Arabidopsis thaliana: one gene and its partners. The protein of the gene in region 1 interacts with the protein of each later gene in a pairwise test. Each region holds a gene or a part of one and is shown on either strand. Other genes may lie near its edges. The genes, in order: AT2G14880, AT1G74840, NF-YB10 and RVE1.

Region 1 (3,932 bases):
TTTGAATATTTTGTTGGTCAACGCTGGAGTTAGTCGACCGGTTAATCTGAAATGCTATATTTATGATGTTGACCACATAACGCTATATACTTTCTATATGTGGCCATGCAATCTATATACATCAAGAAGCTGAATATTCTTTAATTTACTTGACATGTGTAGTCATGTGTTGCGTTATACTTCAAGTATCTAACAATCTTTTTTCTTTAATTTTTTTTGATAAATTAAATTTATTATATTACTATACTAGTTAACATATTAATCAAATAGTTATCTGCCACACAAATATTATACCTTATATAACTCGTTATTTTGTTCTTCATATGATATGATAAATGAGTTAACTCGATAAATATAAATTTAGCACATAAATTATAAACTTATTGATATATACTTTGTTATCATGATAACCCGATAGATAATCATCTAACTCACAATATGTTTTTACTCTTGTATTTAATAACCAATATATCCAGAATCAGATTAAAACGTCGATATCTATTTGTTTCTATTGCTAAACAATTTGTGATTTGTGAAAGTATGTATTTTTCCAACTTATACAAATTGTTGAGAGAGAACTAATTATACAAAAAATAGATATGTTCTTATGTTTAAGTTTTTTGGGTATTAAGATTATTATAACCCATTTTTTGGAGACATTATGTCTAATAGCACATACAAGTAAAGTAATGACTCCAAAAGCTTAGTCAAGATGTTGGTAACTATAATAGCACATATATATGTTTTGAAAAAGATCTTATAGCCATAAAAATTTGTATATTCACTATTATTGCCATTTTGAATTAAAAATGAAAGAAAAAACAGAAAATATTAAATTAAAGAAAACCTATTTTTTTTTTTTTTTTTTCGTTTGGTTAGCGACAACAGTTGAGGGCAAAAAAAACCTCCGACTATAATTTTTCTGAGGAAAACATAGTTTCTGACGAGGCTAACAATTTCAGTGATGTTTATCGAATAGCATTTCATCTACTTCCACGGTTGAGGAGTTTGATCAGGCAAGGTCTCGGATTTTAGAAGATTAGTTGTCGTAATTTTCTAGGTATTTTCAATAAGAATATCGGTTTTATCTTTTACTATGTGATATTGATAGTTGGTTTGATGGTCGAGATGTTCAGGCCGGCCGCTGCTATATCTTTGGATATTCTATTGTTCACTAGGGTTTACATAGGTTCAATCATTTAGTTTTCTTGATCATTCAAGATTGATGTTATCTAGTTTTGATCTGTTGCTTCTCGTCTCTATATTTTATATATGATCGAAATCTGCTTCTATGGTGTATTGGTGTGGTTCTATGGTTTAGCTTGGAACTCTAAGTAGTTTTTCTTGCCAGGTTATGAAGCATAGTTTAAAAAGTTGTACTACGCTTATAAAGTTTGGCTTCTTAAGAGAAGGATTTGTATGATTGTTGGCCAAAGACATCTTCGATACATTCTATCAATTTTTTAAAAAAATTCTGATTTCTTTAGTTAGTTTGATATGTCTCCATTTTATCGATTTTATTTTAAATTTTTTGAAGTTTTCACTTCTAATTTTATATTTTCAGTTCTTTTTGACCGTCAATTATTTTTTTTATCATAAAGTTTTAGATTCTAAAAATATTTATATTTTTAACCCGCATAAATTTTGTATTTAACCAAAAATTTCCCTAAGGTTTTCTTTTAACAATTTGTCCATTAGAAAAAATAAAAGACAATAAATAGTGTTTCTCCTCGATGAAGACAAAACTCCAATACTAAGAATAAAAAAAATAAAAACCAAAAAGCAAAAGGGATAACACAAAACCCCTTTCACCTTCCCAATTCCACCACCACACAGACAAAGCACACCGAAAATGGCGGTTTCTTCTGGAACATTCTCCACTTTCCTCTGCATCAAAACGACATCTTTCCGCAACCCATCAACTCCTCTGTCCTCTCTCCGGTTCGCCTCTCACCCGGCGGCTAAACTACGCTTGGTTCGAGCGGTAACATCTGCGACGGAATCTTCAGAGCCAACCGCAACCAATAAGAGAGTGCCACGCGGTATCATGAAACCTAGACCAGTTTCACCAGAGATGCAAGACATCGTCGAACTTCCTGAAATCGCTCGCACACAAGCTCTTAAGCGTATTTGGGCTTACATCAAAGAACATGACCTTCAGGTAACTTAACAACCAAGAATCTCTCTCAGAAACACTCTGGTTTTGGTTTCTCTTATGGTTTTGTTTCGCTTTCTTCAATCCGGTGGTTTGATATTTTAGGGTTTCTGTAGGAAAATTGAACGGTCTGGATTCAAGAAGACAGAAATTGAATTAGGTTGTCTTCTTGTTAGTTATGTAACTTGTAAGTTTTCTTTAGATTAGGAAGCTGAAAATATTTTGGTGACTAATTGCTTCATATGATTTTGGGGGTAGTTGTTTATAACGTTTTGTATAAGCAAATTTGATTCTTTGATTGCGTCTCGTTTACTTGCTTGGCTATGTGTATCCTTAGAGATAACTAATAATCTTCTCTGGGCTATGTTCTTGAACCTTGTTGCCTAGTTTGACCAAAATCCTAATATGTTCTGTCATTGGCTTTGTATCTCTGATGTTTTGATCTCTGCTTCTTGGTATTGTTGCTGTTTGGTTCAGGTTCTCTAAGTATGAAATGGAACTTTTTTCAGCTCTTGAAATTCTAGTTCTATAGTGTTTAAATGTGGATGCTGTTTCTCTGCAAGATTTATAGTCTATAGCAACCAAGTAGCCAAAACTTTACTCTAGTAGAAAGCTCTGTATTATTCTCATTGACATGTCTTGAGGTTTCAAAGTTTAAAGAACCAATTTAGCTACGGTACTTCAAGATGTTTTACTTGCATCAAAGTTTTACTAAATGACTAATTTTGTTCTTTAGGACCCACAAAACAAGAGAGAAATACTGTGTGATGAGAAGCTGAAGAAGATATTCGAAGGAAGAGATCGGGTTGGGTTCCTAGAGATTGCAAAGCTCATCGGTCCTCACTTCCTCTGATGGATTGTTTCCGCGGAACTTTATTTGGATGATTGTCTATGTTTTGTTGTTGACCTGTTATGGCCATGAAAAGAGAAGGGTATTTGAAGTTGAGGAAGACTTAGATTAGTAAATTAGGTTTTTTTTTGGTTGCTTCAATTCAATGGATGTTATGTAGTCGTTGCTTCCTAATGTTGTTTGCGTTTTCGTTTCGATTTCAGATTCTATTTTTCTTGTTTGACTAACGGTAAACGGCTTTTGACAACATGTTTTTCCGTTTATTTAGTTTTCGAAATTCACACATGTTAGTTACGTTTTATAATCATGTACATACTCCGTTGAGAAGAGATTGAGGTAAGGTTTGGAAGACATATCTACTAGGCTCAGGGATTTGTGGTATGATACTAATGACGTATATACTTAGAAACGGTTGACAAAAGAGCGAGAAAATTTACATTTTTCACTTCACTCGCTATATTACGAACTCATATTACCTCTGGATAGATTGAATCTCGTTTTGTCTAGAAAATTAACCATTTTACCATTTACAAATATCAAATAATTTAGTATTAATTTGGGTTTAGCCTATAGATATGTGAAACTAGGAATCAAAATATCTAAATATGGGTTTTAGGTTCGGCCCATTGAAACTTGTCTGTCTCTCCTTCTCATCTGTAAAGTAGAAGGCTTTTTTTGTTTTTAGTCGGCCAAATTCCATTAAAACGGAAGCCCAATGGGCAGTACAAAGAAGTGAAAATTACATAAGCCCATTCTCCAACATATACATCCTTGATTAGGTTAACAACTGCTTAATCTTAAACTAAATAAAGTAAAAGATTAAGAAAATAAGGAGCCACCACGTGTAACACCACGTGTAACACCACGTGTTAACACATAAGAAGGAGAAGGAGAAGCAGTCGGCGCCGGGCAAATCTGCGAGTTGAC
Region 2 (4,127 bases), on another chromosome or scaffold:
TGTGAGAGTCGCAGATTGACTCGTTGTAATAGAATTGAGGGTCTCTAGGGACGAGAATGTGGTCGATTCTGGTGCAGAGAAGACAAGGAATGTTGAGGTCGAAGAATTTGGCGAATTGGTTTGACAGAAAGGCGATAACGCCGTCGATGAAGAGGAAAACAATGAGGCTCCATTCAAGAACAGTGTAGATGAGGAAATGAGGAAGAGATCCGAGTTCTTGTTCCACAAATTTCTTGAAAGAACGTTTAGACATTGTGGCTTGTAAAAGCAGAAACAAGAACAAGAAAAAACAGAGCAATTGTATATACATAGGAGATCGAATTTTGGTCAAAGATCAACAAAGAACAGAGATCATGATCTATCTATCTCAATCTTTTGTGATTTGTGTTTCTATTTCTGGGTTTAGAGAGTCTAGATTGGGCTGGAATTTGATGAGATAAAGTACCCAAAAACAAAGGATAGTCGCAGATTTGAAATTGATAAATTTAGAGACAATGTCAAAAGACAGAGAGATACAAAACAAACAAAGATAAACTGGATTCGTTTTTTTTTTTTTTTTCCCCGCTTAGACGTGAGGAGAAGTTTGTCGTTGACGCTAAAACTGAATACAACCATACACGACAGAAACAGAGGACATGCCAACACACACATGACATACACATATACATCATCATCATATAAAAATGATGCTGTTTGATTGGTCGATTAATGAATGGGGATCATGTTCTGTGATTGGAAGATTATTGCTTACGCAACAGGGGTAATATGTAATCATCCCACACAAAATATATTAAAAGCATCTGATGGGAAAAGAAAAAGCTCCACTATGATGGAAGTGACCAATAAAATTTGACATTATTGGCATCATTAAAGATAATGACATTATTCTACAAACATAAAATATCTTATCCTTGGAAATCAGATATATTATAAAAACCCTAAAACCCCATGAATCATCTAACATGATTTAGATAGCCACATGATAAGCAAGTACTACGACTCTGTTTATGATTGAGATCATGAATAAAACAAACATAACGTTAATATGATTTATAAGTTTTGATAGATCCACACGAATGAACTTAGAGAGTATTACAACAACTTCCAAACATGGAAGGAAAAACACAGGATGATTATGAACCCTAAAACCCCACTTAAGTCCTATCTCCAAACTCTGTTTATTATTCTTCTTTTCAACAGATTTTTTTTAGCCAAATACATAAATTTGACGAATTTTTTTATAACAAAGTCAAGACCTATCTGTACAGCAAAGAAACAAACAGGGTGTGTTGCAGATTTTCACCTTTAGGATAAGCTCTAAGCGACTCCAATCGTGTTGAATGCTGGATGCATTGAAGGAGATGGTTCATTAAGATTAGATGAAGCTAGTGAGAGGTTGAGAGAAAGCGGTGCTGGACTTGACTGAAAAGTTAATGGAACCAAATTGATGAGATTCGATGAAGTAAGCTGTCCGTATGATTGATTCCCTGTTGGTACCGGGAACTCGGGAAAGACTTGCATAACCGGATGTATAGAGAAGTTGTTGATTTCCGGTACAGGAGAAGATGATTGAGATGTGTTCTCCTGTATAAGCACTTGGTGATCTTCTTCCATGGGTATGACCTGATAACAAAACCAAGCAAAATCAGTTTTGTTATACTTAAGTTTTCACTAACCAACAATTCACAAAGGCTCTCTATTAGTTTCTTTTAAACAACTAAGCTAAAAACTAAACCTAACCACTTAACTTACTAGAGTCACAAAGGATTAGAGATTTACCGTATCAGTAGTCATGTCAAAAAGGCTAGATCTTCGGCGGCGACGGTTAAGATTACTTCGCCTGAGGAAGTATTTCTGAGCATGACTAGCAACTTGTGTAGAGGTTCTGGTCTTGACAAAGTTTCTTGATATTCCTTTCCAATCTCCTTTACCGACTCTCTGCAGCCCAAGCAAGAACAGCTTGTGTTCTTCTTCAGTCCATGGAACTCCTAAGAAATAGAAAGAAACCCAATAAATTAGCCATCTTTCTAAATCCAAATGAACATAAAGTTGTTCATAGTCCATTTCTCAAACCATATCTAACAAATCCCTAAGTTTAAAGTGATCAAATTTATGGAATGATAAAAAAAAGTTTCAATCGAAGAGTAATACCTCGTTTCCTCTCGATTTTGCCGTTAGAAGAAGACATGGGAAGAGCTTCATCCGCCGAGGCGTAACCGGCCGGGGTTTTGTTCATATCTTGTTCATCTCTATCTTCGCCGTCGATCTTTGGAGTCTCCGCCGTCTGTTCATAGTCAGACAGATTGTTCAAACTCACGCACTTTCTCATCGGGTCAAGCACAACCCTGACTCCGAACAGCATAATCTCTCTTCTTGTGCCGCTTCCAGCGCAGGCGGTAGTGGACTCCGAAGAACTAGTACTACCGTCGGCCATGATAATCTTTCCGATTTTGCCCCTTGTGCTTTCTTTCTCCTAAAGAAGCAAAGTACACAGAGCAATGGGCAATGGAGTGGTGTGAGTTAGATCTGAGCTTCTTTGGGGACCCTTTTATAAGCCAAAAGCCACGTGGTTCCTTTTTAAACTATTACATGTTGTAGGTGTTGGTGACGGTACCATATGACACGTGTTTTGTTTTTATTCGTCTGTTCTTGTATTTTTTTCTTACCTGCCTGTCTCTCTACAGAGTTTTCATTTGGATAGACTTTTTTTATTCATTGGCTGACTAGATTTATTAGGTTTTTTGTTAGTAGTTTAATTAATCTTATAGGATGACGAAAAAAGAGTTAAATAAATGTTATCCTATAATAAGAAGTTAAAAAAGTATTTCGCTATGTCGACCAAAAAATGTAGGTCGTATAACGAAGAAATATTTATTGACTTTCGCAAACTCAAAGTTAAATACAAAAAAATGAAATAACAGAATGAGAAAAATGAAATGAAATCGACGCTTTTATTTTTCTTAACGTTACCCTCATGTATTTTTATGATAAAAATCTACAGGTTATAATGTACTGGTCAACGCAATGTCTCTAAGGCCTAAGCGCATGCAACTTGAGCTTAGAAAAATAGTCAGCTTCTGAAATGATTCTGTACTCTGCTCTAATAATCTATTTAGTTACAGCTCCATCCTTGTACTTTTTTTTCTTCTAAAATACTATATCTTGTGGATCTATGAGTTGATTATTAAGAAAAAAATCTTGGGAGACAGGTGAATCCTTTTTGGAAATTATAACTTTGAATTTCAACACAAAAACTTACAATTTCAGGAATCTAATTCAACAACAAAAATGATTGTGTAGTCGAATTTGTCGTTTTCTAGCTAAGAGTAAATTTTAAGACGCTGTTAAGGACCTAATTGTAGTATAAACAGCATGATCGTATGTCCAGACTTGATCACAACTATATAGCATTAAAAAACAAAAAGGTGATAGTTTTAGTCTTTTAGTAGAATGTTAGGATGTGATTTGACTGTAAGCAATATGATCACATACTATTATTATTTATCTATTTTAGATTTGTAGGGAAAAGATTCTAAAAAGTATTTACAAAATTTGGTAAATAGTTTTGGAAGACAGCAAAATCACACAAAGCACTAGCATCGGTTAGAAAGCAAAGCCACCATTACTTTTATGCGCACACAAAGTGGAATCTTAAAGTTGTAATGTGTGAAGCACTATAGGAAGATCCTTTCTTTCTCCAATCTTTTTCTTATTTTATTACCAATTTGGATGACAAACTTGTAGTGACTTTCCTAAATCAGAAAACAAACACATATCTGAGGACGAGAGAGAGAAAAAGATTAATCAGACCGAAGAAGGAATCTTGCACAACAGATTGTTTTCTTTATTCTGGGTGGAGTTGGGTCATTGCTATGTAATAAGTTAGATTTCGAAACAGAGAGAGTTCATCAGGTGAGGTCACAAGCAAAAACTAGAGCTTCCCTGAGGAATCTTGATTAATAGATCCTTTAATTGTAACTAGAGCTTTGATCTTACATTAGCATTTAGCTTTATAGTAATCAAAAACATAGTTGAATGGAAAAAAAAACGAAAAAAAATCTATGGCTGCAAAATCATGGGTCTAACAATCCATCAAAACACTTAGTTGGCTACTTACTTGAGATTTT
Region 3 (4,437 bases), on another chromosome or scaffold:
CGGTCTTTGTCAGGCTGGGATTAAGCTTCGAGTCACGGTGCAACCATCAACCGAAGCTGTTACTTTCCCGAATGTTCCCAAGAAGAAGTTGTCACCTACCGTCAACAGATGGTAGTTACCCTTTCAGACCTCATCACTAAGCATTGAGTTTAGTTCAAGAGTTTTAGGTTTTGGTTTTGCTCTTTTAAAGAGTTTTTGGTCTTTTTATTCTTACTATTGTTTCATTTAGATTCTGTTATTCAGTTTTTCTTAAATTTCAAAGTTTTTATTTTTGTTTGATCAAGATTAGGCCCATAAACATGAACATGTTCCATATGACATTCACATGTCCCATGTGTTAGATTCTGAGCAGTAACAGAAAGCCTTATCAATATACACCAACAGATAAACGGAGTGTTATCACAAACTTAGATCGTGAATTTTACCACACCACAACGATTCAATATCAAGTTTCGTTTCTTTTTATCAATGGATGATGTCAAATGAAACTCGAATTTAGGACCAAAAAATCAAAGAGATAATTATAAATCATGATGTTGTTTTATAAAAGTTACGGGCTCACTTGCATGAAAGAATCAACAGGCCAATGAAGTGGTGATAAATAGCTTCTGCTTAAGACCAAAACCTAAGAAACATAACAGTCAAAAGAAAAAAAAGGTGCTTTTCAATTCTTATCATAAGCAAACCAAACTCTTCTCCCTACAACACAATCATATACAAATCTTCTCTCTCCCAAAAACTGAGATACCACAATCCATATCTATGGAAAGTGGATCACTCAGATTCTCAGACACAACAGGCATAGTCGAGTCTCGGAAGATTGTGATGAATAGTGTCCTAGTACTACTCTGTGCCCGGCATTTGAACCATCATATTCGAACCCTACATTCACAAACGAGTTTAATCAATTATCTGCATATTGATAGATTACAAATACCATTAACACTTCAAGATGCTCGATGCTATTGCCGAACCTCAGAGACTGGAACATATGAGAACCTATGTCTAGATTTCAAAAAGTGGATAATGCATATATGACGGTTTTATCGAGTCTATTAAAGTCCTTAAATCCTTTAATTGTTAATAATATTCTCTCTTTATACCCCGGCTCTGCTCTATGTAGAGAATGAATTCATTTATAAGTATCAACATTTCTTTTGTCGGAAAACACTTACTTGAGAGTTTCCATAAGGACCCTGTGAGAATGAGCCTTGTTGAGGAACCTGCGAGAACTGTTCAGAAAGTAAAGACAGGGAAACAATAAATTAGCTGGAGAAGCTAATGCTTAGGTAAACGACCATATCAACTGGAGAAGACCGAGTCATTACCTGAGACACTTGGCTTGGTTGACCATCTCTCTTTGCACTCGATTCCCCGCCTTTTCCTGATCCTTTAGTGTCACCCTATCAGACAGATAACAATAGCAAAGGGTAGCAGACAATCCTAATTAGATACAATCATACACCATATACCCCATAAAAGGATCCACGTACAAAATTCGACTATCAGAAAGATAAATGAAAGAGGAGAACCACGAACCTCCATCTGCAAAATTCCAATCCAAATAGCATAGACAAGGAAATGAGAAGGAAAAACAGAGAGTCAGTGAATGTATAGCAGAATGTAAACTGACTAATCTGAAGTGGAACATACCTCTCTATATCGCATCAGGTAAACCTTGAGGGGATCGATGTAATCTTCGAATCCTAAAGTGGCCATAGCCCAAAGCAAATCATCTCCATTGATGGTCTTCCTTTTCTCTCTTTGGCACTTATCACTAGCCCTAAAAGGCAAAACAATATTCCAAAATCGACATAGTGACTTTGCTTAACAACCCAATGAATATAACATCAATCTAACTTAACAAAGAAGAGGGCTTTACACGCTATAACCACCAAAGCAACAAAAAGGTAACATTTTTGAGAAAGTAGAGAAAGAAATTACTCGCTGGTGACGAAGCTGATGAATTCAGAGACACATTCCTGCATAGTCTCTTTAGCATCTTTAGCGATTTTGCCATTTAGAGGTAAACCTCTCTTCATGATACGGCTTATGTTAGCAATCGGAAGAAACCTGTCCTGCTCACGAACATTCAAAGACCTCGGGCTCTGATCACCGCCACTCTCATGGCTTCCACCACCACCACCACCGGTTTGCGATTCGGCCATCTCAGAAACCCTAGATAATCAGGTAGAGATTGGGAAATCGGGAGAATCGAGGAACCAAACCCAGAAAGCGCGAAGAAGTGATTAGAATACCTGAAGAAGAAGGAGAATTCGAAAAAGAGCGGGAGACGGAGAGAGAAATGATGATTGGAGGAGGAGACGGAGATGGAGAGAGAGATTTGATCTGATCTGATCCGACGCTGGAGAAGATAGGAGCTTGTATGCGATTCAACGATTTAGGGCTTTTTTATTTTTTTATCGACACCGTTCATTTTTTTTTTGTTAATTTGACAAAACCAAACAAACAAAAAAAACTCTTTTGTTTTTTCCTCAACAATGTTTCTTTGTTCTGCTTTTTTTAGTAATTAGGTGAAATAAAATATATAAGATTTATTTCAATGTAGTGAATTTTTTTCTTCTATCATGTAAACTATAGTAAAAAAACATGATTTCTTTTTTATATACATTGTATTTATGTAAGTGGATTTAATTTATCTAAATAGTTGTTATGATAAGTGGTTTTTCTCAGTGACATGTAATTTCTACTTATTTAATTGTCTAATTTAATTATTTAAGTGGTTTACTGTTTTTCTTGTTATCTTTATTGTTTTATTCAGTTTTTATTCTGTCATTTAAGCAAATATATATTTGTTTGGAATCAAAATAGTATTAGTTTTGTAATAAAACCTAGTATCTTATATAATAAAGTAAGGTTTCCTCAAACTTGTGCTCTAAAAATCTTACAAGTGGCGCTTTATTCATTCGACATGTGTCATTCTTCTTAAATTTAAATATACTATTTTCCATATTCTTTGAGTTTAATTAATATTCTATTTAATGACACATGTGATATCACGTTTTCTTTTATTTATTATGTCTAACTATTGCTGTTTTTTTTTTAGTCAACTAAACTGTTCTATTTCATAAATCAAAGCAGTTACGTTACACTAACATAATTATCATTTATGTAATTATGACCATGATTTCAATATTTAGTATCATATTTAATATCATTTTTAGTGTAACCCTTCACCTTATAAAATGCAAGACGCTGCATGTCAGTTTTTTTTAAGTTGGTTTCTCTGCATTTGTTAACGCTTGAGGTTGAAGCTTCATTCTTTCTATACGAAGATAATAAAAACGTGCATGGTAAGTTTCGGGAATTACTTCGAGAGGTTGCCTGTGAAGCTTCCTAATAACCGCCATGTGGAGAAGGAGAAGAAGAAGGAGGTGAAAGAAGAGGAGGTGGAGAATTGGGGGCTTAGAGAGTTGATCGATGGTGGTGACGTTGCTCCTGGTAGGATTCTTCATAGGAACAACATTAACATCGGTTCCTCAAGGTTTGTTTCTTACAACTCCTTTTAAACTTCTATCATTCTGTGTTGCTTTCGGGATTGTTTAAACATCGAAATAATATTTTGTGGTCTGCTAAGTCTTTCCACATAATTAAATTGAAAGTAAAGAGAAAAAAAGACAAAGCACGAACCATATGAGTATGACGGATTGGAGAAACCAAAGAATGGTAATCTCAAAGGTTTGCTTCGTCCTCTGTATTACGTTGTTTTTTATTTTTCTCATTTTCACTAAAGAAATGAACTAAAATCAAGTTTCTCTCTCTCATTTTTATAATTTTAATATTTGTTTTGTGTAGCTTTTGTATCGTCCAAATGTGGTGATACTGATTCACACTTTGTTACTTCTCTTCTTTATAACATGTTTCATGTGTTTTTGCTAATACATCCTTTTATAGGTGCAATGGTAGATACAAAGTGGCTTAAAAATTATTACACTAAGAATTTCTTAGCAATCATTACACTGAGAATTTCTGTTCATGATGAAGGTAATAGGTAAGCAAATCATATATGTCTTGCTCGATGCTCATCTGTGATGTATATTTTATTTAATTATTAATGTCATGGTTCTAATTTTTTCTCCAGCTATTTGTGTTTTAACTATTCGAGTCACAACCATAGTCAAAGTTTCAAAGTTTAGTAAATGGTGTCAAAGGCCTTTAGCTTCACTTTAGTGGTTCGACATGGGAACCCGGTGTCTTCAACCTGCTATTTTATGAACATGTCCGATATTTTAATAGAGGATATAAACATAGTATTAATGGATATACATATATATATATATATATATATATATATATATTTAACTAAATATCTTTAAAAACAAAATTTTATGTGACTTTCGTAGGTTTTGAAATAAAGAGGTTGAGTCAAATTTTAGAGTATATGCATAAGTGAATATGTGAAAGGTGGATTTCCTT
Region 4 (5,174 bases), on another chromosome or scaffold:
AGGAGGAGCAGGGTGAGAAGCGACGTCGGATTTGTGGAGATGAATCTGCAGAGGAATTGCTCCTTCCCATACATACTTGACCGCTTCCTTCGCCATTCTCTTCCCCGTCACACCTTCTCACGCTCGCTCGCTTCACAAAAAAAACTCAGCTTTCAAAACGACGCTGTTTCTGTATGACGTCATCTTCTCTTGCGTCTTTATGTGGTATTAATAAGGCGTACGTTAGACACTGCTTAATCTGTTGGTGGCTAACGTGAAAGGGTGTTAACCGGTCTAATTTGGTCTGGTCAAATTCTATCAAAATTTCAGGTTAGAGTTGGTTTCCGAATCGGTTCGGTTATTTGTTGGGTTTGAACTTTGAACACACACTTGTTCAGTTGGTGGTAACCTCACTGTTTTTCTTCTTTGCCTTCATTTCAAAGCAAACTCTTTACCAAACCTAATTTAATCGGAGATATTGAAGAGAGACACCTGAAACTTGCTTTTGTTGAACCATCAATTAAGAAAGATCTCATAATCATTAGATTTAACTGTATAAATTGTACACGAGTTTTACAGTTACAAACTTTTGCAGAAAATTTTAGCCTAGAGAACAAACACCTCAAGAGAAAACAATGAAACAACAACAAAAATTACATTGATGAAAACTTAGAAAGTCGAATGAATAGTAAATTTAAAGTCTCTTCTTTAGGGTACGTAAGAAAATGTGTTATAAGTGGAGATGAATCTCATGCTCTTCTTCTTCTGTTACCATCTTTCTCTTCTTGTATGGACCAAATCCTCTTGAATTTGACTCGGAGTTTGTTCTTCTGAGCTCAGAAAATGCAGACCTCTCACTTGGTTTAAACTCCCATTGACATAGCATTGTTTCGGGTTCTGTGGTCTTTTCCGTGTGTCCCGTATCATCCACCGAACCAGTGTTTGATCCAGTCGATGATCCTTCGTTTTGGACAGCCTTTCCTGAATCCAAACATCTATTTTCCACATCTTCTTGCTTAAGAGGGACTTGTATCCAGCAGCTCAAGAGTTCTTCTTGTGAGTTTCTTATTATGGGTAGTGTCTTGGATGATGAGAGTTTCCGTGGTAATGGCTGAATTGGGGATTTACAATATGTTGAAGTTGTTAGAGAAGAGGACATGCCTGAATCAGATACCAAAACTGTCTTCCCAAAGAGTTTAAGACTTTGCTTCGTTGGTTCCTTGATCGAGCTCTCCCTGTTTAAGAGTCTCTCACTAGGAAACAACTCCAGCTTCTGTACAAATTGATTAAACCAAGAATATTAAGCATTAAGCATCTAACAGCAGGTATTGCTGTTAAGTATAAATTCGGTTTTGTTTATGTCAAGTACCAGAGTCTCAAGCTCTTCAGGTGCATTTGCAGTGGTTGTAAGAGCAGCTGGTGGTGATGCAGAAGAAACTGGGGACAAGCTTCGATTGGGTGAACTCGAATCAAGGGAACACAATGCTTCTGATCCAACAGTGGACAACACAGAGGTTGGAGATTGAGTATCACGTTCTGAGGGAGAAACCGATCTACTTGTTTGATCTGCCTCGTTCCCAAACTTACGAGGGTACGGATGCGCTGGCTTTCTCTTGGGACGAGGAGGAGGTATTACAATCGGCTCTACTGAGCTCCCATCACCTCCAGTTGCTTCTCGAGCAACCTGTGTGAATACAACAGAACAAAGCCAAGTCAGAACACAAGTCTCCAAACAATGTATGTATAATGATTCCTTATTTATGCAGAACTTAGGTTTGCTACAGAGATTAGACTGATACTTTCTTTGAACAAGGGTAAAGATATAATAGCAAATAAGTGTATAAACCTTAGAGAAAAACTTCTGAGCATGGCTTCGAATCTGAACTGCGGTCTTTGAGCCCACATGTTCTGTTAGTGAAACAAACATATATTTTTGAGGGTCCAGGTAAGGCCATAACTCAGTAGCAAGAGATATTACTAAATCATTAATTTACCTTCTATTCGTCTCCAAGCTCGCCCGTATAATTTCAAGGCTTCAACAAACTTCTTGTGCTCTTCATCTGTCCATCTCTCTCTCTCTTTTGTTATCGTGTATGGCTTCCGTACCTAAGTAAGAAAAGATGAACTGAGCCACAGATCTTCACTTTACATAACAATATTTGACATTTGATGTTAAAAGAAACAAACCTTGGGTGCATAGTCATTTCCCCCAAAACTTTGGTCATTGAATTGTATCTGCTTGTCTGCAGTTTCTTCATCTCTATTCCTCAAAGAAGCGTTGGTACCCTAAAGCCATCATCAAGCAAAACGACTTTAGGAAACATCATTTTAAGGACTATGACACAAAGTGGCATTGGATTATTTACTTTCTTCTTCAGTTTCTCAATGAACATTCATTCACAAAGTCCAACTAATTAAACTCGATTTACATATCCTAATCACAAAATTCCAACACAGTCGATTCCATCTCAAGGATTCAAATGAATGTAGTTGCAACACACAAATCTAGAGAGAACTTATAGCTCAAAAGAAACAAGAGTCTGCAAATGAATTGCAACGAACTTGCTTTAACTCTAAGCTTTATTACTTAAATGTCCGTATACAGTATTTTAAACTCATAGATTCATTTGAGACCAGACCTGAATAAAGCAGAAACAAAACAAAAAAAGTGGATAAAAATCAAATTTTGAGACCAGACCTGAACATTTGCAGTCAACGGAGACGACGCCATAACTTCCCGGATTAAGATCTCGGCGGAGGAAAACAAAAAAAAACTCGAAAGGTGTGGAACACAGAAAAGGAAACACCAAGATAAATTCGCGAATCTAGACTTGAAAAAATCAGCTTAATTTCCTCTGTTCTCCGTCTGTTTCTATAGATCCCATAAATTGATTCGGTTTACTTAGGCAACAACAAACGATTTGCTTCTGAAATCAGAACCAATCTAAGCTTCCACCTTCCGGAAAAAAAACTTCCAGCAAACCAGAGATTTCTTATGTTCGATAAAGGAAAAGAGAAAAAAACTCTCGCTGGAAATCTTGCCGCAAATAAGGATAAGAAGAAGGTCGGAAATGAAACTCTCAGAGAAACTCCGAGAAGTTTTGGTAGCCGGAGTAAAGAAAAAGACAAGCTTTCTGATTCGGCGGAAGAAGAAGAAAACAGAGAGAAAGAAGAAGAAGAGAAGAGTTTGGGGTCTGTGAAGGAGGAAGAAGGGAATTAGGGGGGTGAGAAAATAGGGAAGACAAAAAGGAGGGTGATGCCACGTCAGCTTCTGCTATGTGCGCTTTTTCCCAATTTTTAAAAAATAAAAATAATAATTCTTATTGGTTTTCCATGGAACGCTCGAGAAACAGATGGAAAATCTTGTGGCTCACGTTCAATGTCCATCTTTGCCACGTGTCGCTCTTTCTCATATTCTTCATCTTCTTTTTTTGCAACAAAATTTGTACTAGATTTATTCATTTATCTCTTTGAAAAATCAAATATTTAATTTTTTAAAATGAATCTACTTGTTTTAAAACAGTTAGATTTGGTACTTCGATTATCACTGTATGTATTTATTTAATTCCCCTACTTTTCCTTTCCTTTTTTGACATCATTTCAATTGGATAATCTTTTAATATAAAATATCAGGAAATATAATATTTATGTAACAAAAAAGATTTTGCTGGACGGAGAAATGTGAGCCACCAGAAGATACTTTTAAAGGAAAATATGGAAAGGCGTACTCTCGAGAGTATGACTTCTTAGCTTACTCGCTTTTCATTGGTTCCACTACATGAGATAAAAATGTAAATTTGCGGGATAAATTCATTTTCTTTTCTTAACTATATCTCTATTGATCCATATATGGGTGGACATATTCCAAAATTTATGATTGGTTCTTTGGATCCGGATCCATAGGATTTGTTTGCGGAACCATCCAAATCCATATCTATCAAAAATACTTCAAAATAATTAAAACAGTAATATATAAAACTATAATAAATAAAAAGTTAAAAATATATTTTGATTTATTTACATAAACTCTTTATGAAAATATTTATTAGGGTATTTTAAAAAGCTACATATGAAAACATATCCGAAGTGGATATCTTAATCAAAATCAAATTATTCGAATTCGAAAACTCTTAACATTTTATTTTTGGACCAGATCAGAAGATTTTATTATACACTTTGTCCAATCTTAGAAAACATAGTCTATCCATTTTTTATTTTGTGGGGTTCTACTCTTTTTTCTCCATTCTTCCATATATGAACACAATATTTGATAGTAAATTTATATATAAATTATAACCATCATAATATCTAAATTCAGATTTTAAAAAAGATTTCTGTCTAAACACATTTTTGCAGGACACTAAAATGGTTTATTTTATGAAATGAGATCCACAAAATGGGTTATTCAAATTTGGACTGATATTAAGATTTGTTGATGATGCTTCTATACTAGCAATAGCAAGCCTCATACAAATGCAATTGATAACGTATCCTACCATGATTCCGATATACATATAAAATTTGGACCTCTAAATTTTCCTATATTCTTTTTCATGTCAAACTTATATGTTTAGTTGGGAAAAATATTGCACAGAATTTTACATAGTTGAAATGGTTTTGAATCACAATCTAAATAAATGAAATTCCAAAATCAAGTGAAAGTAGAATGAGATACTATTTTTGGTTCTTTTTCGTTTTGTCGTTGTCTTTGTTTCATATTTTACGAAAAAACGAAAACCATAAGTTAAATATCTTCTGCCTCTATATAAAAACATGGTGGGGGTCTATCCATAACGTAAGTCTACGTATACATACCATATAATATAATATATACAGATACGAATCTATCTATGATATTTATAATTAGTTTCAACTTTCTCGAATTAATATGATTATCCATCGTCCAGGTCGTCATCAATTTTCACAAATGTGTAGATATTTTATTGAAATCATTGTTAAGCACATAATTTAATATACTCCTCAAATTGTAAAAGTCATCCTCGGTGGAAGTGAAAGTAATTACACTTTAATTTATAATATAGTACTAATACTAATAATTAGTGAATGTCAGTGCACTTTTCTCCATGTCACTGATTCTTATTTTAGCCGTCTGTTCTACAGAAACTTGACATGTGGAATGACGAGAAGGAGGGTTCTAGCCACTAGTTTTCTTTTTATTTGTTTCTTATTCATTT

Evidence for each region.
Region 2: the proteins of AT2G14880 (region 1) and AT1G74840 interact in a two-hybrid assay, tested with the Arabidopsis thaliana proteins (one large-scale study listed by BioGRID).
Region 3: the proteins of AT2G14880 (region 1) and NF-YB10 interact in a two-hybrid assay, tested with the Arabidopsis thaliana proteins (one large-scale study listed by BioGRID).
Region 4: the proteins of AT2G14880 (region 1) and RVE1 interact in a two-hybrid assay, tested with the Arabidopsis thaliana proteins (one large-scale study listed by BioGRID).

What each region holds. Positions count from the first base shown.
Region 1 is NC_003071.7:6,392,762-6,396,693, reverse strand, and holds AT2G14880 (SWIB/MDM2 domain superfamily protein), read left to right. Parts: upstream 1-1,693; 5' UTR 1,694-1,852; coding exon 1,853-2,161; coding exon of another isoform or gene 2,162-2,170; exon of another isoform or gene 2,171-2,342; intron 2,343-2,891; coding exon 2,892-3,008; 3' UTR 3,009-3,384; downstream 3,385-3,932.
Region 2 is NC_003070.9:28,114,884-28,119,010, forward strand, and holds AT1G74840 (Homeodomain-like superfamily protein), read right to left. Parts: upstream 2,540-4,127; 5' UTR 2,435-2,539; coding exon 2,152-2,434; intron 1,989-2,151; coding exon 1,780-1,988; intron 1,624-1,779; coding exon 1,318-1,623; 3' UTR 560-1,317; downstream 1-559. Other genes in the region: AT1G74830 (myosin-binding protein, putative (Protein of unknown function, DUF593)), read right to left, coding at 1-310.
Region 3 is NC_003074.8:19,773,824-19,778,260, forward strand, and holds NF-YB10 (nuclear factor Y, subunit B10), read right to left. Parts: upstream 2,467-4,437; 5' UTR 2,259-2,466; exon of another isoform or gene 2,179-2,258; 5' UTR 2,169-2,178; coding exon 1,945-2,168; intron 1,784-1,944; coding exon 1,654-1,783; coding exon of another isoform or gene 1,633-1,653; exon of another isoform or gene 1,546-1,632; coding exon 1,540-1,545; coding exon of another isoform or gene 1,444-1,539; exon of another isoform or gene 1,404-1,443; coding exon 1,329-1,403; intron 1,233-1,328; coding exon 1,176-1,232; intron 883-1,175; coding exon 844-882; 3' UTR 506-843; downstream 1-505. Other genes in the region: AT3G53330 (plastocyanin-like domain-containing protein), read left to right, coding at 1-115; AT3G53342 (uncharacterized protein), read left to right, coding at 3,312-3,530.
Region 4 is NC_003076.8:5,689,726-5,694,899, forward strand, and holds RVE1 (Homeodomain-like superfamily protein), read right to left. Parts: upstream 3,268-5,174; 5' UTR 3,200-3,267; coding exon of another isoform or gene 2,975-3,199; 5' UTR 2,711-2,974; coding exon 2,678-2,710; intron 2,266-2,677; coding exon 2,167-2,265; intron 2,086-2,166; coding exon 1,974-2,085; exon of another isoform or gene 1,907-1,973; coding exon of another isoform or gene 1,888-1,906; coding exon 1,826-1,887; intron 1,664-1,825; coding exon 1,349-1,663; intron 1,253-1,348; coding exon 710-1,252; 3' UTR 501-709; downstream 1-500. Other genes in the region: autophagy protein Apg5 family, read right to left, coding at 1-96; AT5G17305 (uncharacterized protein), read left to right, coding at 2,975-3,199. UniProt on the Arabidopsis thaliana protein: Morning-phased transcription factor integrating the circadian clock and auxin pathways. Binds to the evening element (EE) of promoters. Does not act within the central clock, but regulates free auxin levels in a time-of-day specific manner.